Linked DNA regions of Pelodiscus sinensis. The protein of the gene in region 1 interacts with the protein of each later gene in a biochemical or structural test. Links are inferred from orthologs where the notes say so. Each region holds a gene or a part of one and is shown on either strand. Other genes may lie near its edges. The genes, in order: FGA, FAM20C and PLAT.

What was found.
Region 2: of the proteins of FGA (region 1) and FAM20C, one has a biochemical effect on the other in vitro, tested with the Homo sapiens proteins (2 studies listed by IntAct). The link is inferred for Pelodiscus sinensis from reciprocal best matches to the Homo sapiens genes FGA and FAM20C.
Region 3: the proteins of FGA (region 1) and PLAT form a complex in vitro, tested with the Homo sapiens proteins (2 studies listed by BioGRID). The link is inferred for Pelodiscus sinensis from reciprocal best matches to the Homo sapiens genes FGA and PLAT.

Annotation. Positions count from the first base shown.
Region 1 is NC_134715.1:56,883,728-56,893,926, reverse strand, and holds the start of FGA (fibrinogen alpha chain), read left to right. Parts: upstream 1-5,272; 5' UTR 5,273-5,287; coding exon 5,288-5,352; intron 5,353-7,927; coding exon 7,928-8,051; intron 8,052-10,199. UniProt on the Homo sapiens protein: Cleaved by the protease thrombin to yield monomers which, together with fibrinogen beta (FGB) and fibrinogen gamma (FGG), polymerize to form an insoluble fibrin matrix. Fibrin has a major function in hemostasis as one of the primary components of blood clots.
Region 2 is NC_134726.1:25,372,397-25,383,440, forward strand, and holds the start of FAM20C (extracellular serine/threonine protein kinase FAM20C), read left to right. Parts: upstream 1-6,904; 5' UTR 6,905-8,059; coding exon 8,060-8,616; intron 8,617-10,892; coding exon 10,893-11,044. UniProt on the Homo sapiens protein: Golgi serine/threonine protein kinase that phosphorylates secretory pathway proteins within Ser-x-Glu/pSer motifs and plays a key role in biomineralization of bones and teeth.
Region 3 is NW_027465860.1:425,192-436,014, forward strand, and holds the start of PLAT (tissue-type plasminogen activator), read left to right. Parts: upstream 1-6,699; 5' UTR 6,700-6,849; intron 6,850-6,972; exon of another isoform or gene 6,973-8,916; intron 8,917-10,248; exon of another isoform or gene 10,249-10,261; 5' UTR 10,262-10,308; coding exon 10,309-10,374; intron 10,375-10,823. UniProt on the Homo sapiens protein: Converts the abundant, but inactive, zymogen plasminogen to plasmin by hydrolyzing a single Arg-Val bond in plasminogen.

The DNA.
Region 1 (10,199 bases):
ACAAGCCCAGGTGGGCTGTGAACAGCGCCATAATTAGGTATTTTTGCACCCACGGCAAATATTATTATGCTTTCCCACTCCTTAGGTTAGCACACTTTACTTTTGCAGAGCTCTTTACTTTTACAGCTTATTATTTTATGCTTACTGCATCTTTGCGCCCCTGATTGTGATGCACTTGGGGCAAGTGTCTCGCTTGCCCAGCCCTTGTATCGGCCTTGGCTGTGAAGACCTGAGTTTAATTAAATCCATATTCTGCCTTGATTTGGAACAGGGACTTAAATCTATATCCTAGGGGAGTGTCCTAACTGCTAGCTGTAGAAGCAGTCTCATTTTCTCCTGGCCAAATCACATTTAACTTAATATACAAAGCAGAACTGGTTCACAATAAGAGAGACTGACAGAGACCAACGGCAGAATAACAAACACTCTGCTGATTAGGGCACTCACTTGGGAGGGAGAACTGGGGTCCTCCACATCCCAGTGACTGCCCTAGCCACTAGAGTGCCTAAGACACCCCCCCACACACGCATACACGCACGCACATACACACACTCAAACCATTCCTGGCTGCTAACTGTCTTCTGTGACTTCTCTATTAGGTCTTAGTTGTGCTCTGAGTATGCTTTTGGGATCTGACCCTGCTAGTGAGATATGCAGTGGGATCACTAGTTTAAGACTTGCTTTGGGGCTGCCAGAGCTATGGATACTGTGGGATGGTGTCTGTGCTTAGGTGGTTTTGGGAACTTCACTTCAACATCTGAGCCACCCAGGGCCCTGCAGACTTGGGCAACAACTGAAAAGTGGTTTTGAAAATATCAGTGGCATGTAAATGCTCAACTTAGACTCCCAGAGAACCCTGGAGGCATCTGCATATCTTTGTGGCTTTAAGAGCCTGTGCCTTAGAATCAGAGAGTCATAGAATTGTAGGGTTGGAAGACCTCAGGAGATCATCGAGTTAACCCCCTGATAAAAGCAGGGCCAATCCCAAATAAATCTCCCCAGACAGGGCTTCATCAAGCCGGGGCTTAAATGTCTCTAGGTCCTCATCTCTGACTTAGGGTATGTTATACTACAGAGCTTTTCCAGGGTACCGGAGGTATCCTGGAACAGCTGCCGTGCCCAAGGAATGCATCTGCTTTTCTAAAAAGCATTTTGGAGAAGCAGAAGCATTTTTTCAGCAAACCTCGTTTTACGGGGAAGAAGGGATGTTCTGAAAGAGGGTTTTTTCCTGACATTTGGCCCCATGTAGACAGGCCATATGTCGGAAAAGCCTCTTTCGGAAGAAAAGCAGAAAAAGATACGCAAATTGCGGTTGCCTTTAAGTTTTTGAAGCACTCATTTACTGTACGGATGAGTCCCACAAGAAAGCCCATGAGGATTTGAAAAGTGTGCTATAAAAAAGAGCAGAGCCATGCACTGAATGATGAGGATAAAAAAATATCAAATATGAGCTCTTGAGCCCTGTCAGTTCTGCATACCGAATGAGGCTGGCATGCTGCAAGAGGAGGAGGGGAGGGGGCAAATAGCATGTGATCAGATAGTTAAAGACTATATCTTAATGCAAACTCACAAAGGAGCCGCCAAATGAAGACTGCACAGGCTATCTGAATGATGTTTCTCTAAAAATTATTGAGTGCTTTGTTTTGCAGCCTTAGAGATCTTTGCACATAAGTTTTATTTTGTGTATTTTTATGAATTTTTCTCTGTATTGTGGTCTCTGAGCCGAATCCAGACCTCACTGAAGACAATTGGGGTGTGTCTAGACTACAGGGTTTTTTCAGAAAGAGTGGCCTTTTTTTCTAAAAAACTTCCCCTGCGTCTAGACTGCCGGTGTGTTATTTCGAAATTAAATTGAAAGAATGCGGTGGTTTTTTCAACTGTGGTAAACCTCATTTTATGAGGAATAACACCTTTTTTCAAAAGTGCTCTTTTGAAAAAAGGCATTATTGAATGCAAACAGAGCTTTTTCAAAAGAGAGCATCCAGACTGCCTGGGTGCTCTCTTTCGAAAAAGCAGCTCGCTTTTTCTAAAGAAGTGGTTGCAGTCTAGATGCTCTTTTTCAAAAGAGGCATGTAGTCTAGATATTGCCTTGGAGACTCCATGGACCTCAATGGATTTTGGATAAGGCCTCTATTTATCAGTTCTTGACATCAAATTGTCAAAATCCTTTTAGTGTTTTCTTTCCTGGCTTTAACTATTTTGCTTTTCTCTATGTCTTTTCTATTCTAGTGTTGTTATGTTACTTCTGAGACAGAAGGAACAAAACTGAAGAGGATTCAAAGTGAGAGTGCACCATTAATCATATCATGCTGAAGTTAGAAGATAAGGTCCATAATTTTAATGGTATTTTAGAATTGCTGTGCCCAGCATTGCAATACCTCATTCATTTCACAGCCTAACTCTCATTTTCAAAATGGATTTAGGGGCCAAAATCCGATTTTTAGTCTGTGGGATTTGCATCTCTAAGTGCCTATATTGTTTTGAAAATATGGTTTAGGTCCTTAATCAGTTAGATGTTGCAACACCAAGCACAATAATGCCAAAATGCCTTTACAGATCTAGGCCTAAGGAGTCTATTTATATGTGATGTCATGTTTATGCATGAGGATCCTTACATATATTTTTCTGAAGTAATCTGCCAATACAATCATTATAGACTGACCTGAAATTTATGAAACTCCAGTTTAAGGATCATTTTACACATTCACTGCTGAAGCTATAAAAGACTATTTAATCATATTACTCTTATCTACAGACTACACTTCAATAGATAATTTTACCAGATGTAGCATTAGGACCCAATTAATTTAAAAATAATAAATCAAACAGAAAGAAAGACAACAGGGATTTGTTTTGCACATTTTCTTCACCATGGATCAGCTTGATGATCACTTCACTAACCCAGGCAAAGGGTGTTGTCCTTCTTGGAGTCCAACACTAGGTCTGCTTCCAGACATAGTGTATCAGACAAATTTCAACCTGAAGTAAAGCAGGTTAAAATGTGGCAACCATTCAGCCCTCCACTCCAGGGTCACCATGTCCAAGATGCCTACCAATGGTCAACAGTCTTTCTGGTGCAATTCCTATGCCTCTGTTTCAAGAACTTCATAACGTTGGCAATTCTCCAGTTTTCTTGCAGCTCTTCTCCCACAGCCCTCAACTCACATCTTCTGGCCCCTGCAATGTCCCCTCCCCACTCTCCTTTGCCTGTGAGTCCTACCCCTCAGTGCTCACTCAAACTTCCCTCCAGAATCAACCTCATTCCTGGGCTCAGCCTGCCTCTGAGGCTATGTCTATGCTATGGAGAAAAAAATCTGCTGCATCCAGGGAATGCGTCGGCTCTTCCAAAAAAAATTTCAGAAGAGCAGACGTGCTCTTTTGGAGGCTCTGTATTCCTCATTTTATGAGGAACACGGGCTCTTCTGAAAAAGGAGTTTTTTCAGACATTTGGCCCCATCTACACGGGGCCAAATGCTGGAAAAGCCTCTTCCGAAAAAAGAATCGGAAAAATGTATGCAAATTGCGGTTTGCAATTTGCATACCTTTTTCCGAACCCTCCCTCCCGTCCCCCAGGAGTGTAGACATAGCCTGAGACATAGCCTGTTCTTTAATCCAGTAGGGAGGTTCAGCCAATGAAGTTTATAAATACCACAAGCACAGTTGTTCACCATCAGAATCTATAAACTCTGCCAGTATTTAAAGTATGCTCATGTCTCTGATCAATATACAATTTCATGTGAACTGAAGAACCATCCTTATTAATTCTTTAGCAACCTCCACATGGACCAGATTTTAATAACAGAAGTCTATAAGATTTCAGAGCCCTAAAAAAAAAGTAAAGAAAGGTGAACCAGTAAAAGCATATGAAATATGCATATGATATGAATATGCCATAACTCAGATATATCATAACTCAGATATGCTGAATGCAAGATGGCTTGTGTAAAATGTTATTGGAAAGGCTATAATTTACTGATTATCCCCATTTGTACATATGTATCATTTTTGTAGATTAAGTTAGGAATATTGACCTGGGTATCTGTAATTTCATATTTACTGCTTTGGGTGTTACGCACTGCTGACGCTTCAGGTACAACAATGAAAGAGGTCATAGTGCTGATGGCTCATCAGCAAGAGACAATGAACTGTAAAAGAGCTTTCTGGAACATGAGAGTCAGATCATGAAGAATGGCTGCAGAGACATGTAATGGAAGTATTGTAAGCAGGATATGAGAAGTCATTCTTCCGCTCTACTCTGTGCTGACTAAGCCTCATCTGGAGTATTGTGTCAAGTTCTGGGCACCACATTTCAGGAAAGATGTGGAGAAACTGGAGAAGGTCCAGAGAAGATCAACAAAAATAATTAAAGGTCTAGAAAACATGACCTATGAGGGAAGACTGAAAGGACAGGATTTGTTCAGTTTGGAAAAGAGAGGACTGAGAGGGCACATGATAGAATCTTTCAAGTTCCTAAAAGGATGTTACAAAGAGAAAAATTAGTCTCCTCAGTGTCTGATAATAGGACAAGAAGCAATGGTCTTAAATTGCAGCAAGGGAGGTATAGATTGGACATTAGGAAAAACTTCCTAATCTTCAGGGTGGTTAAGCACTGGAATAAATAGCCTAGGATAGGGATATAAAAGAGTAGTAGAATAGTCAACTACCCAATAAGCCTAGGCTACTTGCATCCCTCCCCCCCTTGCTGCCTCTATATCTGGGAGGGAGCAGGAGCCAGTACTGGTGAGATCTGGCTTAAAAGCCGGTTTCCCCTAGCACTGTCTCTGCAGTGCGGGGAGGGGCGGGGGCAGAGGTGGGGAAGCAGAGGCACAGTGGCCCTGCAGCTCTGCCTTTTAAATATAGTAAGAGCCACAGAGGTGCAGCACGGGATCCGGTGCAAGCCAGGACTGAAGTAGTCCTTGCTCGCGTCGGATCCAAGCAGCTCTCACTACATTTGAAAGGCAGAGTTGCAGCAGTCTGGACTCAGCATGAGCTGGGACTGAAGCAGTCCCGGCTTGCGCCAGGTCCCAGAACTACTCACCCTGCAGCTCTGCAGTTTAAATGTAGTAAGAGCCAGGCTGCCTGCTGGAATACTGCCTACAAAATACTGGAACCCATATTGATTTCTGTACTTTTCCATGAGAAGCTGGGTGTGAGTCAAACTTGAAACAAAGGACTCCCACCTTAAATCCTATTTAAGGGTGGGGAGTGAGGTAATCTTAGTTTTCAGTCCTCCCTGGCTACCTCAACCAAGATAACTGTTGGAAACAACTAAGTATGAACTGAGGGAATGATTGGGCCCAGGCTAGAAGGGTGCCTGGCCTGTGAGGGAAGACTATTTGAACCACATTTAGGGTGAGATCTTACATATAATTAGTTTGTTTACTGAATTTATCTTAGCCTGCATGTTTGTTTATTTTGCTCAGTTATCTACTTTGTTCCGTCTGCAATTAACCTAGTGAAAATAATTACTATCAGAGGAGGGGGAAGGAACCTGTGCATATCTCTCTTTACCTTGAGAAAGAGGGCGAATGTCATTAGCTTACACTGTATATATCTCTACACAGCCTAAGACAGATTTAGTTTAGATCTCAGAGGGACTGTATACTTGATTGCTGTGGAAAGGTCTCACAGGGTACGTCTACACTGTGACGCTATTTCAGGATACCTCCGGTATCCCCAAAACAGCTATTCTGTGTTATTTTGAAATCTAACGGGCTCACTATTCTGACGTCCTTGAAAACCTCATTTCATGAGGATTAAGGGATGTTTCAGAATAGTAGTTTATTACAAAATTTGGCATTGTGTAGACAACGCCAAATTACAAAATAAGATATTTTGAAATTAACTTGAAATAAGCTATGCAATGTGTGTAGCTCAGATTGCGTAGTTCATTTTGAGTTAAGGGTGCAGTGTAGATGCACCCATACTGTACTGCTTTCAGACTGTGTCTGCAGCGTTGGGGTTTTGCCCTGTCCCTGTGTCTCAACTGAAGCAGGCCAAGAGCTAAGCTCAACAAAAGAGGGTTATAGGGTGTCCAGGCTGTCAGAGGAAACAGACTCAGTGGTGTCTCAGCACGTCAGGTGACAATCTGAAGGGTGTCCCTCCTGACCCATCACAAACATATTTTCTTTTGCCTGACAACCAAAGCTCTTTAATAATGCAACGGAACCTTCATAGACTAACACATTTTGAATAAAAAGATATGTTGAAAGAACTTTTTGTGTTACCAGGTTATTCGTTTAACTAGTTTCTTGTATAATGGTATGATCAAACATATTGATATAATTGAAATTGTCACCATGTCATAGGATTTTAGGTAGGGTGTGTTCATTCTAAAAATATTTCTCCTATGCTAAAGCACTCACTTCATTAAAATTATGAAAGTATGCACTATATTGCCATTAAATCAGTGATATTAAACAAGACTAAACCAATCCCTGTTTCCCCAGAAGAAAAAAAAATGACTTGAGAGAAATAACCCTACTACCACCAAATCCTATCTCATAATATAGGACTGTTCTTATATTTTCTGTTCTTCACATTTTCCTTTAGAAGTGCCTGGACCTTAAAGTGCATGGTCTACATACAAGCAAGTGTCATTAGAAAACAGCTTTATCCTCTGTTTCTGCTCCCAGCTATGTAGAGGCACCAAGCTGCTGTACAATTGATGTTTATAAATCAATGTTTATTTCAAAGGAATAAAGTGGAAAACAGGACACGGGATGCTTACTCAAGGAAGATTTACTCAGTCATATTTCTTACATCTACTAGTGCAAGTTGAAAACCATGTAAAGCATTTCATACTGAAGTTTTCTTTTCTTTTTAATTTTTAATTATATTTTAGTGTCCAAAGAACATAAACCCTGGGACAAATGTATTTCATACTAACCAAACACAGTTCAATTATAAAAATGTGTGAATAGCACTCTTTAACATCTGTAGAGACTGTCTGGTTTGTCCAATATACATGGCATTGTTGGCACATGATGGCATATATCACATTAGTAGATATGCACGTGAATGAGCCTTTGATGGTATAGCTGATGTTGTTAGGTTTTCTGATGGTGTCACTAGGATAAATGTGTGGATAGAATTGGCAATGGGGTTTGTTTCAGGGATAGGTTCCTAGATTAGTGTTTCTGTTGTGGGGTGTGAAGTTGGTGAATATTTGCCTCTGCTCGGGGGGCTGTCTGTAAGTGAGGACTGGCCAACCTCCCAACGTCTGTGAGAGTGAGGGATCATCATCTCTGATAGGTTGTAGTTTATTGATGATGTGAAGGAGAAGTTTTAGTTGGGGGTTGTAGATAATGGCTAGTGGTGTTCTGTTGCTTTCTTTGTTGGGTCTGCCCTATAGGAGATGACTTCTGGCTTTATTTGACTTCAGAGTGAATGTTGTCTGAGACTGACACAGAATCATGAAATTGGCAGAGCTGAGCATGGGTCTTCCATAAAAATATCTCTCAGTAACTGGTTTATTTTGATGACCATATAGTTCTTGAATTAACAATTATTAGACTATGATCTTGCTTCTTTTACTGCACTAAGTAGTCTCTCTGACTTGATGTCCATGGAGTGTGATCATACAAGTAGGAACAATTTGGTGATTTTTTGACTGCTTAGTCATGCTATTTAAATACCAGATTTACAACATAGATATCTTCCAGTGGTTAAGTATTATTGGATCTTTTACATGCATGTTATTCCAAAATTTAGTTATCAGAAACTAAAGCTGTAGACTTTCCTGGAATGTGTGTTCCTTCCTCCCACTCCCTCCACTTCCACCCCCGACTGGCATTGCACAAATTTATCTAGAGCAAACAAACTCAGGCGCTTGTGCAAGAGGCCTCAGGTAACCAACTGGGGGTGGGTTGCATGTAACTCTGCAAACAGAAGGGAACATAATGATTAATCTAAGCTATCCATGAAGGTTTAAAATGAAGCAAAAAAAACAAGTGGAACGTATCCTTTCTGTCAGACTCCTCCTCACCCTGCCACTGAAGATGATACCGCTGAGGATCTTGTGCATGTGGCTGTGCCTCAGCATAGCCTGGGTATGATTTTACTTTATTTGATTCTTTTGATAGTTTGGCTTTCTCTTTTTAAAAAGGGGCATTTTTATTGAATGAACAGTCACACAGCAAACTGACAAAATTCTCTTTGGTTATGAGGTAGCTTGAAAAATTCACACACGTACACATGAACACAAGTCTCACCACTTCATCACCGGCGTTTCCCTCTTGAGTCTCTTCTGCATTTTATTGTCTGTCTGGTTCCTCAAGAAGCACTTGAGATGAATTTTGCTTAAAGTATCTGTCAAGGCAAAGAGGCTAAATGACCAATAAGCAGTAGATTCAGAGGTGAGATTGTAAGTCTTTAACCCATTCCACTGCACCTAGATAGAAAGGTTGCCAAACAGTGTGGGATTTTAGATATTATTAGCCAGATTCTACTCTCAGTTACATCCCTGGATTCCAGTTCCTGTCATTGAGATTCTCTGGGTGTAAATGAGGCAGAATTTGGTCCCATCCTTGCTAAAGTACATATGCATAGAACAAGAATGTTGCAATTGATTTCAGTGGCAACATAATCAGGCTGAAAGGGAGCTCAGGAGTTATTGTTTTTTCAATAAAGAGAGTGGTAGCCTTAACTCCCAACAATGCTAATTGAACAACAAGAAGTCCTGTGGCACCTTATAGACTAACAGATGTATTGGAGCATAAGCTTTCGTGGGCAAAGACCCACTTGATCAGATCCACTTCGTCAATGCTAATTGAACACTCTTGTTGGCTAGTTTAAGATTCCGCCTATATTACTATGGTAAATTCTTATATACATATTTCCTTATTATTCTTTTTGAAGAAATCAGAGTGTGTGGGGTGATCTGGTTTAATAGTCTGAGTGAACTTGGAGCCATTACATTCTTTCATGTAGTTGTATGTCAAATCAATATTTAAAAGCCTATGAAGCATAGTTAGGAACTTTTTTTTTTTGCTCATTAGCTTAAAGATATATATGTGGCAGATCCTTAGCTGGTGTAAATTCAGCATTAGTCTGTTGATTTTAAAGACTTTACCCCAGTTGACACTAGTTGAGGAGCTGGCTCTGGAAGCTAAAATCTTTGCCATCTCTGACAATATATTTTTATTCTACTTTGATAATTGGTAATGTGTTCAAAGGAGACCAGTGCCACTTGATACCTCTCAGAAAAACTGTCCCATCTCTTAGAGAAATAAAAATATTGCCATGCCCACTTTTCTGAGCAAAGATTAGTATGCATGGTCAAAAAACTTTATGACATTTTCATGTAGAATTAGTTAGTGAACAAGGACTTTTTCCTCTTTCCGGATTATATAAAATCTTATTCTGTTTATTTCCTCTTTCAACCACCAATATCATGTTATTGCTGTTGTTACTGTTGTTGTTATTGTTATTTTCCTGTGCTTTTCAAGCTATGTCTAACAAGTGTTATAAGTTTATAGTTAACATCTGATTTTGAGCCACACAATTAAAAACCACCATGAAAACTAAATGACTATCAACTCACTTTAAAGCAGTTGTATTATGAAAACATATGATATTAATTGCAAGCTTAATCATTCTGTTATTAAAATATCTTAAGCACCATTCAAATCCCATAATCATCTGCTTTAACTACATTCAAACGAGAAACTTATTTCATAGAATCATAAGAAGATTAAGGTTGAAAGAGACCTCAGGAGATTCATCTAGTCCAACCCCCTGTTCAAAGCAGGATCAACCCATTCCAGTCAGGGCTTTGTCAAGTCTGGCCTTAAAAGCCTCTAAGGAGTCCATCACCTCCCTAGGTTACCCATTTTAGTGCTTCACCACCCTCATCATGAAATAGTGTTTTTTTAGTATCAACTTGGACTCCCCCACTATAACTTGAGAACATTACTTCTTGTTCTGTCATCTGCCACCATGAGAATAGCTTGGCTCCATCATCTTTGGACCTCCCCTTCAGATATCTGAAAGCTGCTATCAAATCCCTCCCCCGCATTCTTCTCTTCTACAGACCAAATAAACTCAGTTCCCTCAGTGTCTCCTCATGCACCTTAGTCCCCTAATCATTTTCCTTACCTTCCACTGGCCTTTAAACAATGTATCCACACGCAAAACTGGACACATACTCCAGATGTGGCTTCATCAGTGCTGAATAAAGGGGAATAATCACTTCCCTA
Region 2 (11,044 bases), on another chromosome or scaffold:
CCTCCCTTTCCATGTAATGGAAAACGGCTCTTTTCCCAGGTCTTCCAGGTATCCTGTAACAACCAAACCCTGACCTTGTCTTAAGTCAGGAGAAGAGGAAGCTGATACCAAATTGGGTGACCCTAGCTCTTACCGTATAATAGTTCTTGAACAAATGGACTCACAGACAGACAGACGCAGACAGGTGCACTCTAAAATATAGAGATTAGAGACTACTTGAATACTAAGATATAATTTTGGAGTAAGAAAAGAGACCTGGAGAGAACTGTAACCCAGAGAGTCACAATTCCCCATTTGATCTGCTCCTGGGCAGGCCCAGCTAGGGACTGACTCTTACTCAGCCCAAAAGCCATCATTTAGCTCATAGAGTATTTGCTGATCACATTATTTGCCAGTCCTGTGTATTTAGTAGATAACCGTTTTGTTGGATCTATCAATCAACAACTGCCATCCATCTTGAACAACAAAGGCATAAACACCAAAGCAGTTCAGCTATCGTGTGCCATGCTGCAGCTAGAAAGATCAATTTGCAAACAACAGTCCTTACTCCCTGTAATGCAATGTAGGCTACAGGCATGGAGCCAGAGGATGAAGCCAGCTCATGACATGTCCTTGAGACCTGCTGAGCTTCCTCTTTTCCTTTCCTCCCTCTCAGCCACCTCTCTTCAGTTCTTTACCTCCCCAGTGCAATACAGCCCCCTCAGCATGGCCTGTTCTAGCTGCATCTTCTTTCCAGCTTGTGACCTAAACCTAGGTTGGCTCATTGACCTTGGAACATCTTGAAGTTCTCTGTATACAAAACCCTTCAGAATGCATCCATCATCCATCCAGTGCATTGACTAACCTGGTGGAGAGGCCTGTATTTAAGAATAGTGGTCAGACTTGGCAATTTTGCTTTCTGAACTACTTTGGTGTCAGGCACTTTGGTTTCCCATGTGATGTTTAGAACGTGGCGAAGAACATGAGTGTGAAAGGTGCTTTCACTTTTCTTGTATTTGCTGTTGGTGGTCCATGTCTTCTCACCTCAGTGCAGCGTGCTCACAATGCATGTTTGGTAGACCCGTATCTTTGTGTTCAGCATTAGTTTCCTCTTATTCCACATTTCTGGTCATTGTCCAAATGCAGAAGGCTGCTTGGCCCATCCAAGAATCCAGCCCATCTGCTAGAGATAAATGATTGTGATATAGATGATCCAAAGGAGAATAATTTGTGCACAACTTCTTGCAGGGTACTAGCTATGAAAACTTCTGATACTGCCCACACAACCTGTGCCATAATCATGGTCTCCTTTGAACAGATGGTGCATGCAAATGCATCACAAAGGTAAAGTTATTACAAAGTTGCTAGAGTTCCTTGCACTGTGTACAACAAGCATGACATCACTGGCTGCAAGAAGTTCGCTTAGCGTCAGGCGTTTAACTTTGATTAACTTTAGGTGGACAATATTTAAGAGTTTTCCATCTGATCTCATAAGCATATGTACACTCTTGACACTAAATGAAAAACATGACCAAGCAGCAGAGAGAAAAATATACTAAAGACTGTTGGTGGTGTGACAGCCTGTCACTGGTCGGGGGGCAGGGCGGCCAGAACCCCGGTCCCCAGGAGACTGGCGCCGGGGAACCGGCTCTCCGGTGTTCCCCCAGCTCGAGCGGGTGGCGGCGGCGGGCGGGGGAACTCCCCCCGCGCCTGCGCCGGCTACGCCGTGCCGACTCCTTCCCCGCGTCCCCGGACGGTGGGGGCGGATCAGCTGGGCGGCGGGACGCTGCACGCCAGCGTGCCCGGAAGGGGCGGGGTCCCAGGGAGCGGCGGATACGGCGGGCCAGCTCAAAAGGGCTGGCCGCCGGCGGAGAAGGAGGCAGGCTCCCGGTGGGAGCACAGGAGCCGAGCCGGAGGCAGGACGGAGCCCGGGCAGCATACCCCGCGGCTGCCAGCCCGGCGCTGGGCCCGGGGTCTTCAGGACAGCCACTGCCCCTGGCGGTCCCTCAGCCCATCGGCAGACGGAGGGCGTACCCCACTGCGTCGCGCCCAACAGGAGCGGGACGCACGGAGGCAGAACAGCGCCACAGAGCGATCCCCCGAGGCTACATCGGGAAGTGAGACACCACGAGACCCCGAACCAGGGTAGGTGTGAATGCGGCGGGCCCGATTGGCGGGCGCCGCCCGGGGGGAGGAAGGAGTCCGGGGCAGGGCGCTTTTGGCGACCTTGGGTGGACGAGTTTTGGAGGGATTAGCTCCCTCGTCCACCGCGTCGGGGCATTAGCAAGCCCCGGCGCCTAGGGCCCTGGGCTGGGACCCGGAGAGAGGGCGGGACCGGGTCCCCCTCCCTCCCTGAAGGGAGTATACTACTCCCCGCGGCTTGAGCGGCGAGCCGTTGTAAGTCACGACCCCGCAAGGGGAAACGCTGAACCAGGGGCCGGCTGCCCCACCCCGCATAGGCGGGTGACTGTCGCCGGGTTCGCTGACCCCCCCTTCCTCCTGGGAGGGGGTGATCGCACCCATTACCGGGAGTTCCCCGTTGGGGGCCCTGAGGCCAACTAGGCACAAAAAGGGGGCACGAGGGTTCGCTGACCCCCCCTCTTGGAGCAAGAGGGGGTGATCGCACCCTGAAACCCCCACAGTGGCAAAATACATCCCTGTTTGTAACACTATGTATTTCAAAGATATCACATAGGTCACCATCATAGTGGACTGTTATCTTCATGCTCTCTTGGAAGGATTGAATCAGACTGAGAAGTGGTGTTCTCTGTAAGCTGGGCGTTTGGGCGGCCACCTAGGAGAGACTGAAATGCTGCCCAGCTGACTAACAGAGTACCGTTAGCCACCCACAGCCAGATGCATGTGTTTCTATTGGTGATACACATCTGTGCATACCTTGGTGCACATAACAAAATATATTCCACACATGGGTAAAAAATAGAGGGAACATTGCAGATAAGGCTTTGGGTGTAACCAGTTTTCTTAACAACTGGGAGAAACGTTTTCTGCTGACCAGGTCTGATCTGCGGAGAGAGGTTTTATTTGTTCTTGACACTTTTCTTGCAGTTGCCTTAGTGCAGGGGTGGGGAACCTTTCTTGGGTTGGGGGCTGCTGACCCACAGAAAAATCAGTCAAGGGCAGCACACAGAAAACCCTCACTGATGTGGTCCCCAAATGAGGAGGAAGACACTCCCCACATTCCCCTCATACACCAGAGCCTGAGCGGGGGACACAACCTAGTATATTTTATGTGCTCCAGCCCCATGGTGGGAAGCAGGGAGGTTGGAGTGCTAGCACTGACTCCCCAATGCAGGGGGGGCTCTGAGCTTCCGTGCCCAGATCCAAGCAAGCCAGGGGTCATCTGGCCCATGAACCTGAGGTTCCCCACCCCTGCCTTAGAGCAAAGACTATCTCAATAGTTCATCTATTAGCACAGATGCCGCCCTGTTGTCTTTTGAGAATGACATCGACAAATGCCTTGTGAGTAACACAAAGGAGATGGGTTCCTCTCTGGATAGACAGGGTTCTGAGTATCATTGCCTGGGAACACCAAGAAACCCTTGACTTTTTTATCCATTTTATTCCATGGACTAAAGATACGAATTAAAGATCTCCTTTGGACAGCCCTGCTGAGTCATCCCAAAGATGAAAGATCTAAGCACGAAAGGCACAGAGCAACTCAAAGGGGAAATGAGTGCACTCGGAGCCTATAGACTCCAAAAGGTGAAGGCGTAGTCCAGCACGTAGAATGGGGCCATGAACCAAGAGGAAGTAGTAGGTCCCCTAAAGGTCAGATGAAGCTGAGAAAGGCATGATGTCAGGGACGACGGATATCCTCCTTCCCTCATAAGAACAGCCCAGGACATACAGAAGTGAGTGAGATAAGCAGTAACTATCGGTATTTCCTTGTTCCTGAGGACAGCATTCCCTTTACTCTACCTCAGAATGAGCAGTAGCAGGGCTAAGCTACAACCATAAAGGACCTGAAGAATAGTGTTTAAAGAATCCCACCTCTCTGTTCTTATTCAGACCCATTAAAAGCGCCCACATTTAATTAGGAGTCTAAGATGAAGAGACTGTTGTCCATAGTGGGAACTCTCTTAAAGCAATTAGCAGTGGATTTAGTAAAATACAACCCTGCTGGAAGTTGCATCAGAAAGCTTCAAAGCAGAGGCTGCTTATGTTGGTGACAATATTGATATCTCGATGGACCTGAGTCAACAAACACTTACACGTGGGTGTAATTTCAAGCATGTGGGATCTCACATAACTCACTACAGAACCGGGGCCTGTAACTGAAAGGTGATGAAAGAATTAAAACAGTTCTCTTTTACTAATGACTCCAGAGAACGCTGGGCCTGTCAAGATCAGACTGAAACCAGAGGACTGCTGGAAACCTCAGTGAGTATTTAAAATAAAAGGAGTTCTGGCCCTAAACCGCTAAGTGGCAACAGATCACTTGAAAATCTTTTCCACTGAAGAGCAAAACACCCATGGCGGGAGATGATGAGCTGTCTAAGAGGAGCCCAAATGGAGCACCTCTGGGGCACTGGTGCCTTGAGTCGCATTCTGGCACCTGCAGGCTGCAGAGACTAGAGATGCCCATGGTGCTGAAGAGTCTGTTGCAGCTCATGATAGAGCTAAGGGAGAAGGGGAATCTTCATGCCCCACCATCCTCTGCAGGGTTGCACTCACGAGAAACACAAACCTTTCAAAGTATGGACATTCATATTCAGAGGCTGAGATAGCTCCGTTACCCTAACTCTCCTGCCATCGTGCTCCTGCCCTCCCCCTGCTCCCCAGTGCCTTTACTTACACCATGGGCTACAAATCACCAGATACTCATTTCAAAACATGATTTGCCATCATGGTCTGAGGGTGACAGATTCCACTGAATATCATGGAGATAATGTGATCCAGCTGGGCTTGTGGAGGGCAGCCTAAGGCAAGCCGTGGGCAGTGCCAGTGGAACTGTGGCTTAGCAGATCTAAAAGTAAATCCCAGGAGGTATAACCTGGATTCAGTTATTTAAACCCCATTACATCCCTGTGAGATAGGTAAGTACTATTTGTCCCCAGATGGCTAAATGAAGCATTGAGAGGTCTACGTGCTTTGCCCAACATCTCTGTGGCAAAGTTCAGGAATTCCAACTCTCAGTGGGAATTCTGCCTGAATGAGGACAGCACAGCAGGATGTAACCCAGAATGTATATCCCGTTTGTATTGTACTCGCTGTGTCAACTCCCCCCCCCCCCCCCCCACACACACACACCATGGCTTTAGGTATTGTTCTTTGAAAACTGATAATGCCCAGTTCCCAGCCTGAGTTCAATACTCTTGACTTCAATAAGATTTTCTGAAAGACCGATCTACCCTTGCCCGCATTTTGTAGCAACGGGGTGAACTGTCTACCAAACATTATGCTCCATACTCCACATGCAAAGTGAGAAATTGTCACGGCACAGCTGGTGATGTGGCAGCAAGGCATTAAAAACGTTCTATGCAAATGACGACTCCAGTTCTGCAAGAGGGTGCATGAGGCCAGACCACTGCCCTCACTCCAAGCCCACTGGCGTCAACAGGGTGATGCAAAAGCAGAGCAGCATGCCTGCCTTGAACAGCTTGCAGGATCAGGGCCTATATAGCCTTGCATTTTTCAGGGTCATTTACCACTTTTGAAAACAAAAGTGGCCATGTTGTGAAAGCACAGGTGTAAGTTTAATGCAAGCACAAAACATGACTGCAATATATCGTGACGGCTTAACAGTCTTACAATGAGGGTTCAGAGTGTGATGCATTTGTAGCACACATTGCAGGTCCAAATATGTAGGTACTGCTTTTATGCGTTCCTTGTAAAGACAATAAATGGGGGATATGGGTTTTAACTTATTACTATATTCATTACTTTTCAGTATCACCAGGAGCCTTCGACTAATATCAAGGCCCTGTTGTTCAACCCCGATTAAGAAACAGCCCCTACCCCCAAGACAAGGCAAGAAGAATATGATTATTTCCAGTTTATGCATGGAGAATAGAGGCAAAGAGAGAATGAAGACCCAGATCCTCCCACGAACTTAAGCTAACTCCTAATGTTAATGGGATCTAAATGCCTGCATCAAAGTACTTGTCCTAATTGGCCTGCTAAAGCCAGGGTTGTGAGTTCAATCCTTGAGGGGGCTGTTTAGGCAAATCTGTCAGGGCTGGTACTTGGTCCTACTATGAGGGCAGGGGACTGGACTCCATGACCTTTCAAGGTCCTTTTCAGCTCTATGAGATGGTATGGTATATCTCCATATTAAAAGATATGAACAAAATCCACAGCAGAGCCATCAAGGGATCCCAAGTCTCAATCCAGTGCTTTAACCACTCTCCATCTCCTCTGAATTATCTGATTGGAAACTCTGGGTCAGTTTTCAGAATCTCTCCTGGCTGGAGGACAATATTGGCAGCCTAATCTCCTTTTTCATCCGGCTATATTGTAAGCATGTGCAGCTAATGTAACCAGACGGGTGGATTGTTACACTGCAACACCTTTAAAGATTGTTACGGTCGGCAGCATCCAGATTCAAAATCAAGATTATTCATCTGTTTCTTAGAAGGAAGAGAAGCCGAGTTTTACGTTTTGACCTTGTTATACACGGGTGACATGGGGAGGGAAAGCAGTAGATTTGCTTCCGAAAATGATCTCTCCTCTCCAGACAATGACATAGCAGAAATCATGTCCCTAAGCCTAGACAGCCAGACTGTACTAATACTTTGCAATGTTATTAGCATAGATTCCAACCCCCCCCCCCCCCAAAAAAAACCCTTTGAGAAACAGACGCCCTCTCCTTGCCCCAGTTGGAGCTGCAGCAGAATGGGGAGGGGGTGGGAGGAAAGGGGAGACCGAAAGAAAGAAAAGCTTGTGGCTGAGGTTTTCCTGTTACTATCATTGTAACGTTTATTTAGCCAATCTCTTAACTATGACGTCTGGATCCATGGCTTGCTCATAATATTTAACACACCCACTAAAGGCTGGAGTTGCAGCGCTACTAGTCCAACCAGTCAGTGTAGCTGAAAGGGGTTTTCACTCTGCACCTGCCAAAGACCTTTCTCCCTCTTTCTCTGCCTCTCCCTTTCTCTCGCAAGGCAGATCTGTACGACCCCGCAGAGATCAAAGACAGCACCTCCCTCGCTAAGAAGAACCGCTGTTGTTTTGTGCTAGTTTCTTTCCTCTTCTCTCTCTCCTTCGGTGCGTGCTTTACCTTGCCGTAGCGCCATCGGGCAGTTTTGCAACCCCAAAACAAAACAAAATAACAAAAAGCCAAACCAAAACAACTCTCCCCTCCCCTCCCAAAAAAACCCCCGCGGAGCCCCAGCCTGGATCCAGCCAGCACACTGAGTTGGACCCTAGTTGACTACTCATCTCTCCCCAGCGCTGGATGCGATGGATGAAGACTCTGGACACAGGCTAAGAAAAGCATTTTCCAGCCCATGTTTTTAAACAGTCTGGCGGAGGAGCGCGTGTGTCCCACGGCTGCATCACTGGTCAATTTCAAAGGATGGGGGGCAGCGTTTCCAGCACCTCGAAATATGATGGATGATTTTTGCTGCCGCTGAACGCCTTTCTCTCTTTAAACAGGTTTTATTATAATTTTTATTCCCCATCTTAATGCCCCCCCCCTTTTCCCCATCAGAGCTTCAGAGGTTGGTTTCTCTTCAATCATCCCTTTTTCTTTCCCCTTGTGCTCCCTGTCATCATCAGCCTCAAGGAAAAGACCGGGGCAATTGGGCAGACGGGTTTAGACGCTGAACTGCTGCTGGCTTTGTGTTCCCATTGATGTGCAAAGCCTTGACTCCGTGCGGTGGGGATTTTCGTCTGGCCGAGTCCTGGATGAGACTCGACCAAGAGGAACGAGGACCGAGCGCTTGCAGAATATTTACTTTCTTCGCTTGCCGGGTTGATTTGTTCTCCGAGCAGGGGGGCAAAAAAGACAAAACACATCGAGACTCGAGCTTTTTCTGTGAAAGGGCTCCTTTAAATATTTAAATCACCCCTTTGCTTCCCCCCCCTTTATAATTTATTAGAAGCCCCCTTGACAATGAAGATGATTTTAGTGCGGAGATTCAGGGTGCTGATCCTGATGGTGTTTTTGATCGCCTGCACCATGCACATCATGATCGATCTGCTCCCCAAGCTGGAGAAGCGAGCGGCCAGGACCGAGGGCCAGGCGGGCTGCTCGTGCGCTCAGCCCCCGAGCGAGGAGGCGCAGGGCTGGGGGAAGCCGCGAGCGAAGGGCGGCTCGGAAGCCGGCTGGCCTAACAAGCACACGCTGCGGATCCTGCAGGATTTCAGCAGCGACCCCGGCTCCAACCTCACCTCGCACTCGCTGGAGAAGCTCGGCGCGGCCTCGGAGAAAGCCGAAGCTTTTAAGAGGCTGGAACAAAGCGCCAGGAGCCAGGATCTGGGGCACAAGCCGCTCATCCAAGATGGGAGCCCGGGCGCCCAGCCCCTGGGGAAGGGGTACTCCAAGCTGGCGGCTCTCTTCGAGCAGCCCCTGTACAAGATCGCCACGCCGGAGCTGGCGGAGGAGGATGTCTTGTTCAATGTCAACAGCGACATCCGATTTAACCCGAAAGCGGCCGAGAACCAGGACTGGTAAGTAGGGCAGGCGGGGGGAGGGGAGGCAGGGTGTGAGCCTCCACTCTGGGCCCCCAACGGGCTGTCACTGAGAGCAAAGGGGAGTCATGCCACCGGCCGCGCCCGCGACGAAACACAGCACCCCCGGAGAGCACGTTTCTCTCCCCAGACCCAGCAGCAAGGGGATTTGGGTTATGCTCATGTGGCATTCCCCTGAAGACTGGCAACACTGCTCTGGGTCTGGAGAGAGGTAACTAGCGAAGCGATGGATGCAGGAGCCACTGGCGTGGGACCAGTGGATCTGGGTTCTTCTTCTTAATTACAGTACATTTAAAAATATTATACAGTCTGCAGGAAACAGTGTGGCTGCTGCTTGCACACCGGGTTTGAAAAGGCACTGCAGCTCACTTTACATTTCAGCGTTAAAAAAGGAAATGACAGCTCTTGCCTGAATGCAGAATTATAAGTGAGATAAGCAGCTGTTATAAATAGTAGCCAATGTGTATGTTAAGACTTGGATTTTGGTGGTGGTTGTTTTTTAAATGACCACATATAGTTTAAGAAGCACCGCTGTTTCTTATTAAAACCCTGAAGAGAGTAAAAAGATCATTACATAGAAAACAAGAGATTATATGTGTCAATGGTGGTATGTCAAAGCCGGTAGCTGGAAATAAAATTAATATGTTTATGTCGGTAGAGGAATATAGGTTCTAACAAGTCATTTACAAGACTGGAGTAAGAGCTATGTTAGATTAAATGAAAGCTTCCGTGATATAATTCAGGTGTCACCAAGACAATAACAAAATAACATGTTTAAACTAGGCTTGTTATTTTCCCCCAAGCCAACAAAATAAAGAACACAAGACAGAGCAGTAAAATATTAACTTCTCTCAGAAGCAGAGAGATTGACTTCAAAGGTCATAAAACCGTCCATAATATACAGATATAAATGGGATTTCAACCTTCAGGGTCTGACTTTTGACACAGCATTTTCTGCTCTGAATTATTTTTTGACATTCTAAAGCCCAGTGCTTCTATCCTTAACTTTTAATGCATTTGGTTTCATCTATGAATTGCCTGCCCCCACTGCTTAGAAACTTGAATGGATGAAAAATCAAAAGGCTTGTCTCTAATACAACAGCACCCTCTTTCAAACACAGTGACACTGTAATGTTTAAACAGCTTCATTGTACCATGCAAAAACTCTGTCAAGCGATAGAGCAGCCAGCCTGGATTTGAATCTTTAATGATGTTGTATAAATGTTTTCATTTTCAACCTCAAGTTTCTATGAATCACAAAGACCCTTAATGTAGCATAATTAAAATCAAACTTAAAACTCACTAGCTTAGAAAACTTCCAATTTCTCTGGAAAATCTGTCATCAGTATATGTCAGTAATGTAGGGAATATACTCCAGAAATGGCTAAAGATACAATTGACTCCTGCAATCAAGGCATGTGATGGCAATGTGATCTACAATACAACTGCTGTTCTACTTGTTTCTACTAGTTACTGCCCACAAGATTTAAATAATTAAAATCAAATTTAGCAGTTTACATTAATTCATACAATTCTTTGTTATAACAATAGCTTAAAGCTAAGCAAACTTTCTTGCATACATGGGAAATAGAATTTCCATTTAGAAAGTAGTCAAAAGTTATTCCACTTCCTTTTGATCCCATAGGAATAATAAAACAAACAGATTCTGAATGTAATATCACAATTATCAAATAATTTCAGGATCTGTTCATTGTTAAATAAAGATGTGGGGAACATTTATATTTTTGTTTCAAAATTGTCTAAGTTGTTTTTGACAACTCTAAAATAAATCTTAAAGACTGAGTTTTCTGAACATTGTACCCTGGATTTAAAAAAAAACCATAAAACAAAATGTACACAGCTACCTTGAATTAAATCAACTTTTTTGGAGTTTTAGAACAGTGCTATGCAATGTAACACTGAGTTCAACATTTTTTTATATTTTATAAGGGTCAGATCCAATGTCTGTTGCAGTCAATGGGAGCTTTGCCACTGACTTTAGTGGTCTTTGGATCAAGTACTAATAATTTAGGTCACAATTCTGCTCCCATTGAGATCAACAGCAAAGCTACCAATGGCTTCTCTAGAAATGGAAGCAGGCCTTTAATCCACAGCAGGGACAAACGGAAAGCCTTCTCTCACATCTGTATTGTTTGCTTTTCATATCATTGCATTTCAAAGCCCTCTTTTAAGTTGCTTTGTGGAGAACCAGCAGAAAAAATATTAATACTTCTCTCTCTCTACTTTTGTGGTAGGCAAAATGAAGGTAATGAAGATGAGGAATTTTTACCCACTGGAGAAACATCTGTAGATTCCTACCCAAACTGGTTAAAATTCCACATTGGTATTAATCGCTATGAGTTATATTCCAGACACAATCCTGTAATTGAGGCTTTGCTACAAGACC
Region 3 (10,823 bases), on another chromosome or scaffold:
TCTCCATCAGCTTCTGAGGCTCCATAACCCCCTTAACCCATATGTAGCATCCTTTTCTTATATACTCTTATCATTAGTATGTACTGATGCGGGAGATGAGTCTAGATGACTTAACTGTCCCTTCTGGCATCTGGCTTTAAAATTGTGTATTACTATGACTGACTCCTCCTCGTAAGAGCTAATTTTTCTGTGTCTCTAGAACTGAGCTCATCTGTGCCTTGGCAGCGCAACCATTCCTGCTCTACAAATTCCCTTGGGGTTTTCATAAAGCGTTACAAATTCTCCAATCTTTCCCCTCCACACCCATCTCTGACAGCAAACCAACCAAGTGCCAATTCCTTCCTCTTAGCCATGTTGCCTATTGTGGAACGGAGGCTGCCGTTCATGCTGCTTCCAGCTATTTTAGCCATCTTGATCACATGAACCCAAACCAATCTTATCTATCCCATGAAATCCGGTTAGAGACTCAATCCCTCCTCCAAGGAGCTTTGTTCCCTATGGGAATTGCTGAAAGGCTTTAATTGGTTATTACTGGTGTTAGGTTGTTGGTCCTTCAATTGCTGTTCCCAGTTTCCCCCTAAACACTCTCAAGCCTTGAGCCTCCCAGCCAATGTCTATTTTCCCAAGAGCCCTAATGAGCCCCCCAGATAATTTAGTCCCTGAGTGTCAATGATTCCCCTAAGACCACCTCCCAGTGACCTGTTGACAGACAGTCGTGGGGAGCTACATTAGAGGCTTGTCTACAATGGCAAGTTACTGTGCTGTAACTTTCTCGATCAGGAGTGTGAAAAACACCCCTCCCCCACCTCAAGCTCAGTAAGTTACAAGATTGTAAAGCACCAGTTTGGACAACGCTACAGTGCTGTTAGCTACTTGCCATGTGGAGGTGGTTTGCCTGGAGTGTTGGGAGAGCTCTCTCCAGCACACTTGCCATGGTCACGCTGCTGCAAGAACATGTGGACAAAGCCTAAGGCTGAAGAATAAGACACTGGAGGGTCTCAGAGGAAGCAGCAAGAATCTGTGGAGAGCAAGGAGAAAAGCAAAGGAGTGTGTGTGAAAGATACAGTGTATACAAAGACCCTATGTCCTGTGGTTTGATTTATTTTAGAGCCAAGGGAAACCAGGACACTCTAGGGATCCTTAGCCACTTTCCTATTTATTGCAAGCTTTAAGCAGTTAATACAGTTGTTTAAGTTTTACAAGCCTTAAAACAATTACTATCCAATTTAAACTTTAAATACTATACATTCTAAAGCAATTAATACAACACAAAACAACGCAAAAGCAATTAATAGAAGATCAACTATAATACAACAACAAAGCCTAGTTCACTTACACTTTACCCGTTTGCTATCTACAATACCAGGCAGGAGCTCGAGGTTCCTTTGATTCCCACATGTTGGAACGCCTCGTACTGGGTCACGAGCGTGAAGGACCTATTTACTTCTAGCTAAATTGAGCAGGACCTGTGGGTCCATCCTGCCCATTCCCTCCCATCGATTGTTCTTACTAAGCCCATTTTATAGCAAGGCGAGACTTGGTCGTTCTAATAATATTTACCAATTGCTGATGTATAAGTTATGTAAAATGCCCAATACCCTATTTGGGGTACACCCTGCTACTCAGGATGTTGCTGCATGTGTGTAGACGACAGTTTCACGGCTGCACCTGTAATTTTTGCTTATCAGAAACAGGAGTACCTATACAAGGTTTCTTGTCATGCGTTTTTGACGTGGTCTTGTATACCCTGCTTAATCTGCATTGTCAAGGCTCGACAGATTAGTCAATCTACTCGCCTGGGGCGAGTAGACTTTAAGCTGGCACGGCGCCGCAGCACGATCAGCGCATGCGCAGCGTGCCAAACTGCGCGGCTGCGAGTGGGGCTCACCGCCACTTGTCAAGCCCTGTGCATTTTTATTCAAAACATTCCTGCCTCGCACAGCTTCTCCTTCCCAAACCATGCCTGCGTGCTACATGCACCAGACTTGAGACAGGCCTGAGTTTTGCTTTTTAGGGATCCGCACTGTGGACAAAGCAGACACCACCGTTTATTGTCAAGGCAGGGCTGTCCAGGCTCCCCTACACCCTCGCAATTAACAAAGGAAGTGGACAATAAGAACTCAGCCCTCTGCTGCTGTTAAAATCAGGTAGCTTCTCTTAAGAGCATCAGCAGCAGCATGGCCCTGCACAGAAATGTAAGACAGAGTCCCTGCCCCAAGAAGCACCTGCCATTTGAGAGGGCATAATATGCACTACTAGGGAGGAAGGTTGGGTGCACCGGGCCCCTCATGTCAGATACTAGGAGCACATTATACACAGCACAGGGCCTCAGATGGCAACATTCAAACCTAGATTCAACATTCTAAGAAGTGGCTGTGTTTGGACTAGGGGATTTTGTTGAGGCCTTTATCTACACTACACCTCCTTGCAGTTCTCCCTGGGTACGTCTACACTACAGCGCTAATTCGAACTAACGCGTCTAGAACTAAAAACTAGTTCGAATTAGCGTTTTGCTAATTTGAACTAGCGCGTCCTCACTGATTGGATGCAGGGGGGCATTTAAGGGCAGCTGAAACCGGTTCTGGCAGGGCATCAGGTCAGTAGTTGCTTTGTGTGGCTGCTGTCTGAGGCTATCTTAGGCTCGAGCTTAAAGGGACCCCCCTGGACAGCCGGTTCTCAGCTTTTCCTGCTTGCTTGCCAACCTCACCGAGGGACAGCAAAGCGTCGGTCTCTGTGCCCGTCTGTGTCGGTGCTTCCCTTCGGGGACGCCGCCGCAGGTGGCAACATGGAGCCACAGCTCGCCCTGCACCTTCTGGTGCACTTTCTGGACTTGCTGCTGCAAGCCTGCCAGCAATGGCTCGAGGCTGCCTGGCACCTCCTGGTGCACGTCAGCCCCCGCCCCTCCGCCTGGCCGCCCTGGGGGCCGTGGAGGAGCCGCGGTGGCGCCCCGGCACAGGCGTGCCCCGCCGCGTCTGGCGTCTGGACACCAGCACCGACTGGTGGGACCACATCGTCCTGGAGCGCTGGGAGGATCGACAGTGGACCCAGAACTTCAGGATGAGGAGGGACACCTTCCTGGAGCTCTGCGAGTGGCTCACCCCTGCCCTGCGCAGAAGGGACACTCGCATGAGGCCCGCCATCCCCCTCCAGAAGCGGGTGGCCATTGCCCTCTGGAAGCTCTCCACGCCGGACAGCTACCAATCCATCGGGAACCAGTTCGGTGTGGGGAGATCCACCGTCGGAGCGGTGCTTATGCAGGTATGGCACTCGTCGGCCACCGCACCGGAGGGGGAGGGAGGCTGCGAGGAGGGGATGGGCTGCCCCAGGGACAAAGGGGGGGCGGGAGGAGGGGATGGGCTGCCCCAGGGACAAAGGGGGGGCGGGAGGAGGCGAACGCACCCCACACCGGAGGGGTCGGTCTGTCCCGGCCATACTACACGCCACCAGGGGGGTTGCTTCCAGGAGTGGGGCGCGGGGCACTGCCAGGGCACGAACGCTCCCAGCCACCCGGGCGCCCCACTGATTGGCGCTTTGCTTTGTCTCTCTCCGCAGGTGGTCAAGGCCATCAACTGGGTGCTGCTCCGCAGGGTGGTCCGCCTCGCCGACCCGGACGCCATCATCCGGGGATTCGGTGCCCTCGGTTTCCCCAACTGCGGGGGGGCCATCGATGGGACGCACATCCCCATCCGTGCCCCGGAACATCAGGCGTCCCGGTACGTGAACCGCAAGGGGTACTTCTCTGTGATCCTGCAGGCCGTGTGTGACCACCGGGGACAGTTCACGGACATTAATGTGGGCTGGTCCGGCAAAGCGCACGATGCCCGGGTGTACCGCAACTCCTCCGTGTGCCAGCGGCTGCAGGACGGGACCTTCTTCCCCGACCGCCACATCAGGGTCGGGGACGTGGACATGCCCGTGTGCCTGGTGGGGGATGCCGCCTACCCACTGCAGCCGTGGCTGATGAAGCCCTACACGGGGCACCTCAATCCCTCCCGCCAGGCCTTCAATGCCAGGCTGACCAGGGCCCGCATCGTGGTGGAGGGGGCCTTCGGGCGACTGAAAGCCCGCTTTTGATGCCTCCTCACCCGTCTGGATCTGGCCGAGCACAACATCCCTCCCGTGGTGGCAGCATGTTGTGTGCTCCACAATTTGTGTAAGCGAAAGGGGGAGGCTTTCCTGCCAGCATGGATGGCTGAGGCTGACCGCATGGCTGGACACTATGGTCAGCCCCGCACCGCCGCCGTCCGGGAAGCCCAGCGGGGGGCCGTCCGGATCCGGGAAGCCCTGTAGGAGAGCTTCCAGGTGGAGGAGGAGAACTGACCTCTCCCTTGCATGCCCCACTGGGGCCTTCTTCCACCCTACCCCCCTTCCCCTTTCCCCTTCCTACCTACTGTAAAATAAAGACACCTGTTTTTCAACCAAAAACGTCTGTTTATTTCACATAACTGGGGTGGAGGGAGGGAGGAATGAGGGTGGGAGAGGGGAGGGGGAAACCTGGGACGAGGGAGCTGGAAGGGGAGGGAAGGGAGGAAGGGAAAGGAAAGCTCAGGGGTGGGAGTCCGGCTGCCTCTCCCGTCTCGCCACACTGAGGATCCGGGGGCATCGGTGGGGAATGGTTGTGGAGGGTGGGGCAGGAGGGACGGAGGGTGTGGAAGAAGCAGGAGCGGGAGCAGGAGAGGGAGCTGGGGGAGCAGGGGGAGCTGGGGGGCAGGGGGAGCAGGGGGAGCAGCAGAGGGAGCAGGGAGAGCAGGAGCAGGAGGAATTGGGAAGCGGTCCAGCAGGCTCTGGAGGTGGCCTCGCAGGGCACGGCCCTCCTCCTCCAGGGCCTCCAAACTCCTCCGGTGCAGCCTCAGGTCCTCCTGGACCCAGTGGTCCTGGAGACGGAGCTGTTGCTCCAGGAACTGGAGGTGCCGCCTCTGGTAGTCCTCCTGGTTCCTGGCTCTCCTGCTGGCCCGGTCACGGGCAGCTGCTGCAGGCGGGGTGGTGCGCCCTGCAGGCCCAGGTGCTGCGGCTGTGGTGCAACAAGACCAGCGGTCAATTACCCCAGGGGCCCAGGTGTGTGAAACCCAGCTCCCCTCTGCAAGGCCAGGGCCCCTGCAGGATCCCCAGCTGCTGCTCCGTGGTGGGTAAGGCCCAGGCACATGGTCCCGGGGCTCCCTCTCGCCCCAGCCCCCCGTACACATAAGGGGAGCACGATGGTACTCACAGGTGGATGCCTCCCCGGCCTCGGACGACACAGGCGAGTGGCTCTGTGGGGTACCTCGGGGGTCCCGGGTCTTGGGCAGGCTGGCGGCAGGCTCCTGGCTCTCAGAGCCCTCCTCCTCCTCCTCCTCCGTCTCCTAGAGCGGTCCCTTTGCCCCGGGGTCTATCATGTCCCGGGGGGCAGGGACGGCATGAGCCCCCAGGAGGCGGTCCAGGGCGTGGAAGTGGGGGCAGGCCCCCGGGTCAGCCCCTGGCTGGCAGGCCCGGGAGTAGGACTGCCGCAGGTCTTTGATCTTGCAGCGCACCTGCTCCCGGCTGTGCTGGTGGCCCCTGGCGGCCAGACTGGCAGCCATGCGTCCGTAGACGGCCGCGTTCCTGTGGCTAGTGCGGAGATCGTGGACATTGGAGGCTTCCCCCCAAACCTCGATGAGGTCCACGATCTCTGCACTTGACCAAGCGGGTGCCCGCCTCTTGCGTCCCTGGGCAGGCTCCTGGGACCCGCCAGGCTGGTCCTGGGGAGCAGTGGAGGGCTGGGTGTCCTCGGGTGGCTGGCTCATGTTGTGGCAGGTGCAGGGTCTGCTGGCTGGGTGCTGGCAGCCTTGCTACTGGCACAAACTGTGTAGCCAGCCCGTGGCCCTTTAAGGGCTCCGGGGCAGGGAGGGGGGCAATAGAGTTTCCCTGGTGTTGGCCAGAGTGGCCACCAGGGCAAGCTGGGAAGGGCTAGCCTCCCACTAGTTCAAATTAAGGGTCTACACAGCCCTTCATTCGAACTAGCTAGTTCGAACTAGGCTTAATCCTCGTAAAATGAGGTTTACCTAGTTCGAACTAAGCGCTCCGTTAGTTCGAATTAAGTTCGAACTAACGTCCGTTAGTTTGAACTAACTTTGTAGTGTAGACATACCCCCTCATACCATGTCCTGCCCTGTCCTCTTCCCCTTACACTGTTCTGTGCTCTCTATGGCTGCCAGGTCAGATTTTGTTCCACTATCTTTTTCTAGTGATGTGACTAGGTACCACTCAGAGACGGATTCCTGACGCATTACACGCCTGAACTACATCATCTGCCTGTTTAGCGTGGGACGTTCCTTGAAGGCGTGACATGCTCTTTCTCTACAGTTTGCACAGCACCAGTTAAGCTGGTGGCCTGAGAAAATAATGAACATTTGTAACTCTGGGGGCATGGTGTGAGCGATGCTGTCCCCCTGTTCTTGGAACCACAATGAAGGTTTTCTTTGTAAGTGGCACTTGTTATCTGATTTGTTGCTCACACTCCAAAGGGCTCAGAGGAAAAGGCAATGATACCAAAAAGAAAAGTCCTGGAGTCACTGACTGCTTTCTGATCAGGACCATGAATAATACTGACTGGATGAGAGCCAGGATCTGCTTGTTGACTTCATCAGACACTTCCTCCCCCTCATCTTTGGAAAAAGCTAGCCCAGCCTATCCTGACCTCATCACCATAGCCATCACTGTATCCTTTCCCCTGGGTGAAAAAGTCCCTACCCCCTGTATAGGCTCCACCCCCTTGACTGGCATTTTAAGAAGGACACTGGAGCTGTTTAGAGAGATCAGAGCTTAGATGTATTCAAAGCACATCCAGGCTGCACCGAAAGGAGCCCATCCGCAGAATACAGAAGAGAAGTGAAGGTATGTGTTACTCTCCACTTGTCTGTGCAGATCCTTTCCCTCTCTCCCTAGGGCTTAGTGCTGCTATAAGAATAGAGCAAGGATAAATAACGTCACATTCCTGATATTAATACTTTGTAATTAATTAGCACAATATGCGGTGCTTCGGAATGTGGAATCTAACTTTGCTGTTTCTTTGTAGCCTCTGGGGAGAACTGTGAAGTTGGGGACAGATGGTGCTTTCCTGTTTTCTCTGGAAAGCCTGCTAACCCAAGTCAGGGGGAAATGGAGCAGCTAAAGGACTTCCAGCCCTGGCACCGAACTGCTTGTGGGTAGGAGGCCCCTACACAGAGAAAAATAAAAGAATAGTGATAAATAAAAAGAACAGAGCTCACAAACCCCCAATAGCAACAAAAGACCAGTGTGCCAGTTGTGAAATTATCCTTTGTGGGGTTCATGAGAGGGTCAGATCACACATTTCTCTTCAGGATTCTTGTCTTAGTAGGGGTGACAGAGGGGCCTCTGTGTGCTCTGTAGGCTTCTTCCTCCTCCCAAATGCAAGCACAGCTATAGAAAATCTTGAGGACAATTTCCAAAGGGGAAAAATCAGACTTCTGAGGTGTCAAGGGAATGGTGTATTTCATAGACAATGAAGATAATGGGATATTATCTACATATCAATGCCCTGGCTAGGAAGGTAGCAGACAGGAAGAAACAGTAAGAAACTGGGCTCTACAATGCTGAGTACTGGATTGGGGCACTGCAACTCCTCTCAGCAGGCAGTAAACAGAAGAAGTGCATTACTTCTGAATGCAGGAGGGGAGCTTTAAGGCCCTTCTGATAAATCAGCTTAGAGACGTGTCAGCACAAATGGCAAACAGCAACTGGTTCCAAATTCAGAGTAAGGCAACGGGTTCTGATAATCACAGAACCAGAACTCCTGACTTTTCATCTCTGTTCTGCCTCTGACTGCCGATGTGCCCTTGGGTGAGTCACTTCACCTCCCTGAGCCTCATGTTCCCCTCCTTCAGAATTGGAGTGATACTAATTTACCTACTCCTGAGGAGAGCAGTGATGCTTAAATCAGTCACATTGAACAAGTGACAGACAGATTATTCTTGTTTCTTGTTTCTGAGGCATCTGCAGAGATGTAGCCACGTCTGCAGAATGCAGTATCCCTTTGCTACACTATTTTCAGATTGGTAATGAATGATGTACATCATGCGCATGAAGAGCACTAACTCCCGAACTGCTCTGTCGGGTATGTGCACCAGGATCCATGTACGTGGATCTGGGGATGCAGCTAGGTGAAAAGGACTATTGCTAGGTCTCTGCTTCTATCCATGTAAACAGTCTCATAGCTTCAGAAATCCATGTGCTTTCCTAGATAGGGCTTATCATTCAGAACACCCCGACTGGGTAAGGCACAGCCAAGACCAGGGGTAAGACTAACTACATATATCTGGAAAACATCAGTTTCGAGACTTCTGGCACACTGGACATCAGGCCTGCTACAGTTACGGCTAAGGGACTATGCACTCCTCTCTGTGTATAAGAGAGGCGCTAGCCTGGAATGAATAGCAAGGGTTATTGGAACAAAGAAATCAGAGGACATCTATGAGATACAGGAAGCACTATCTGGTAAAAAGAAAATTCAAGGCTATGGGCTGCCGGTCAATGCTACTAGACTGTATAGTAGACTAGATACATTAAAAACTGACTAATTAAGACAGAATTTGTGTTATATTTAATTTTTACTTTAAGTAGTTCTGGGGCTTTTAAATGGAAGAGTCTCCTTTCAGAGCAGTCTCCAAGAGTTTAATACACAGGATATAACAATATCGAATTCCCTGCTCTAGGTCCTCTCTGCTATAAAGGAGAGAGGCCAAACGGGCCGTCGCTCTTTTGTTTATGAACAGGCTGGGGGAGGGGGTTTGGCAGAGGAGCCACGAGGGAGTAGAGCTAGAGAGGTCAGAGCAATGCTGTTTGGTAAGGAGGCAGGGAACACACAAGACAGCTGAGTCAGGGCCTGGATTTTCCTGCTGTAATGAGCAGCGGTCAGGGAAGCGCCAAGGAGTTCACTACCAGGTAAGAAAGAGGACTGGGAAGGAGAGAAAGAAATTAACGTCTTCACTTGAAAAGATGGAGGCAGGCAGAGGTCTAAGTCCACTCTTGTCTCAGTCACATCTGATGAGCTAATGAACCGTGAGGAACAGAGTGGTTCCCAAGGTTACTGTTGCGAGTAGTAAAGATTTCTCAGAAGGGTGGGATGGAGCTTTGTCTGAGGGAGATGAAAGGGAATGTGGGACTGTTTTGACTATAGGAAAGTGAGTCAAGGAACAAGTGAGATGGAGTGCCAGACCACAACTAGCATTATAGTCAACCAACCTACTTTCCACTCCCTGCACGGCTGATAGTGGAAATGAAGTCCACAGGCAGTGGAGATTACAATTCTGAGAAACAGCTCTATTGCTTTACATTTGTTAATGCTGGCCATACTCCTCACGCATACCCAGCAGGCTCTTCAGCATTCCCCTCACCCTGTGCTAATGATCCACCAGCAGGCAGCATTATTCTTTGGGTATGTGGGTTAGGGAGGGAGCAGTCACGCTTCTGATTCCATGCAAAAACTGTACTAATACCTGCAAGCTCTCACACAGACTTGGGACCTCCAGACTGTTCTTGCTCAGCACAGGTATCCCTTGTGCCCCAGAGCAGACACTCCAACTAGAGACTCCTGCTCTTTCAGATGCCTCTTTTTGGTGACTCTAGAGATGCTGTTTTATTAGCCAAATCCAGGAGTCACAATTTCTTTTGTGGGAGTCCAGCCTTGTCTGCTGCCACTGCACACCCTTGGATTCCCACAGCCTGCTGTGAAGTAAACTGGGCTTGCCTCTTGTGAAGTCATCCCCCCAGCAGTGCCAGACAGGCACTGCTCAGTGCCAGACAGGCACTGCTCAGTGCCAACCCCTGGAACTTGGTTTCTGCCATTTGCCTATGTGAGGTGGCAGTGCTTAAAGTGATCAGGAGAAACAAAGGGGGTATCTCATAACCTGAGAGCAGCAGCAACTTTAGTAACTTAGTACTTAATGTGCACCCTTCAGTGATGCAGCTTCATCTTATTTAATTTATTTCTTTATTTTGCCTCCCAGATCTGCAACCCCTGAAAACCCCTCTCCTTTCCTTTCTCTTCTCACCCACTGCCAATGTGTGAAGTGGGTCCGGTTCCAGACTGTCAGGGCCCTTCCAAATTATAGCAAGACTCCGAGGCTCTCAAACAAATTGCAGAGCCAACTCAGGGACACTGCCACTCCCTGCCAGCTTCCTGGCCTCTGGAAATTAATGGGAGCTGTGTGGGTAAAAGCCCTTTTTCACTCTGACAATATTAACCCCTGCTCACACTGTCAGCTCCTTGCTCAGCTTTTCTGTTTAGTTTTTTTAGATTCTGAGATCTGAAGGCAACGCTGAAAAAACCAGAGAATGGAAGGGAAAGTCCTATATCTCTACTTGGTGATGACAGCCATCATCACCACTCTGCAATGCCAGGTAAGAGGTCACCATGCCAACCCCATTCTGGGAGATCCCTGGCACTCTGGGGGTCCTAACCTGTCCCGACAGCACTCTCCTCTCTTCAGAGTCCTCAGTGTTTTTTCCTGGTTAGAAGAAGGGGCAGAGTTACACAGTGGGGCTACGTCTACACTATGGGACTGCGGCCAGGGAACGCATCTGCTCTTCTGCTTTTTTCTGTAGAATAGCAGACGCACACTTTCAGAAGCCCTGTCTTCCTCCTTCCATGAGGAAGAAGGGGTCTTCCGAAAGAGGAGGCTTTTCTGAAATTTGGCCTAGTGTAGAAAAAAGGGATAGAGAATAAGAGAAAATATCATTGTGTACAGATGTGGTCACCTCATCTCAAAAAAGATATCTTGGCATTGGAAAAGGTTCAGAAAAGGGCAACAGAAATGATTTGGGCTTTGGAACGGGTCCCATCTGAAGAG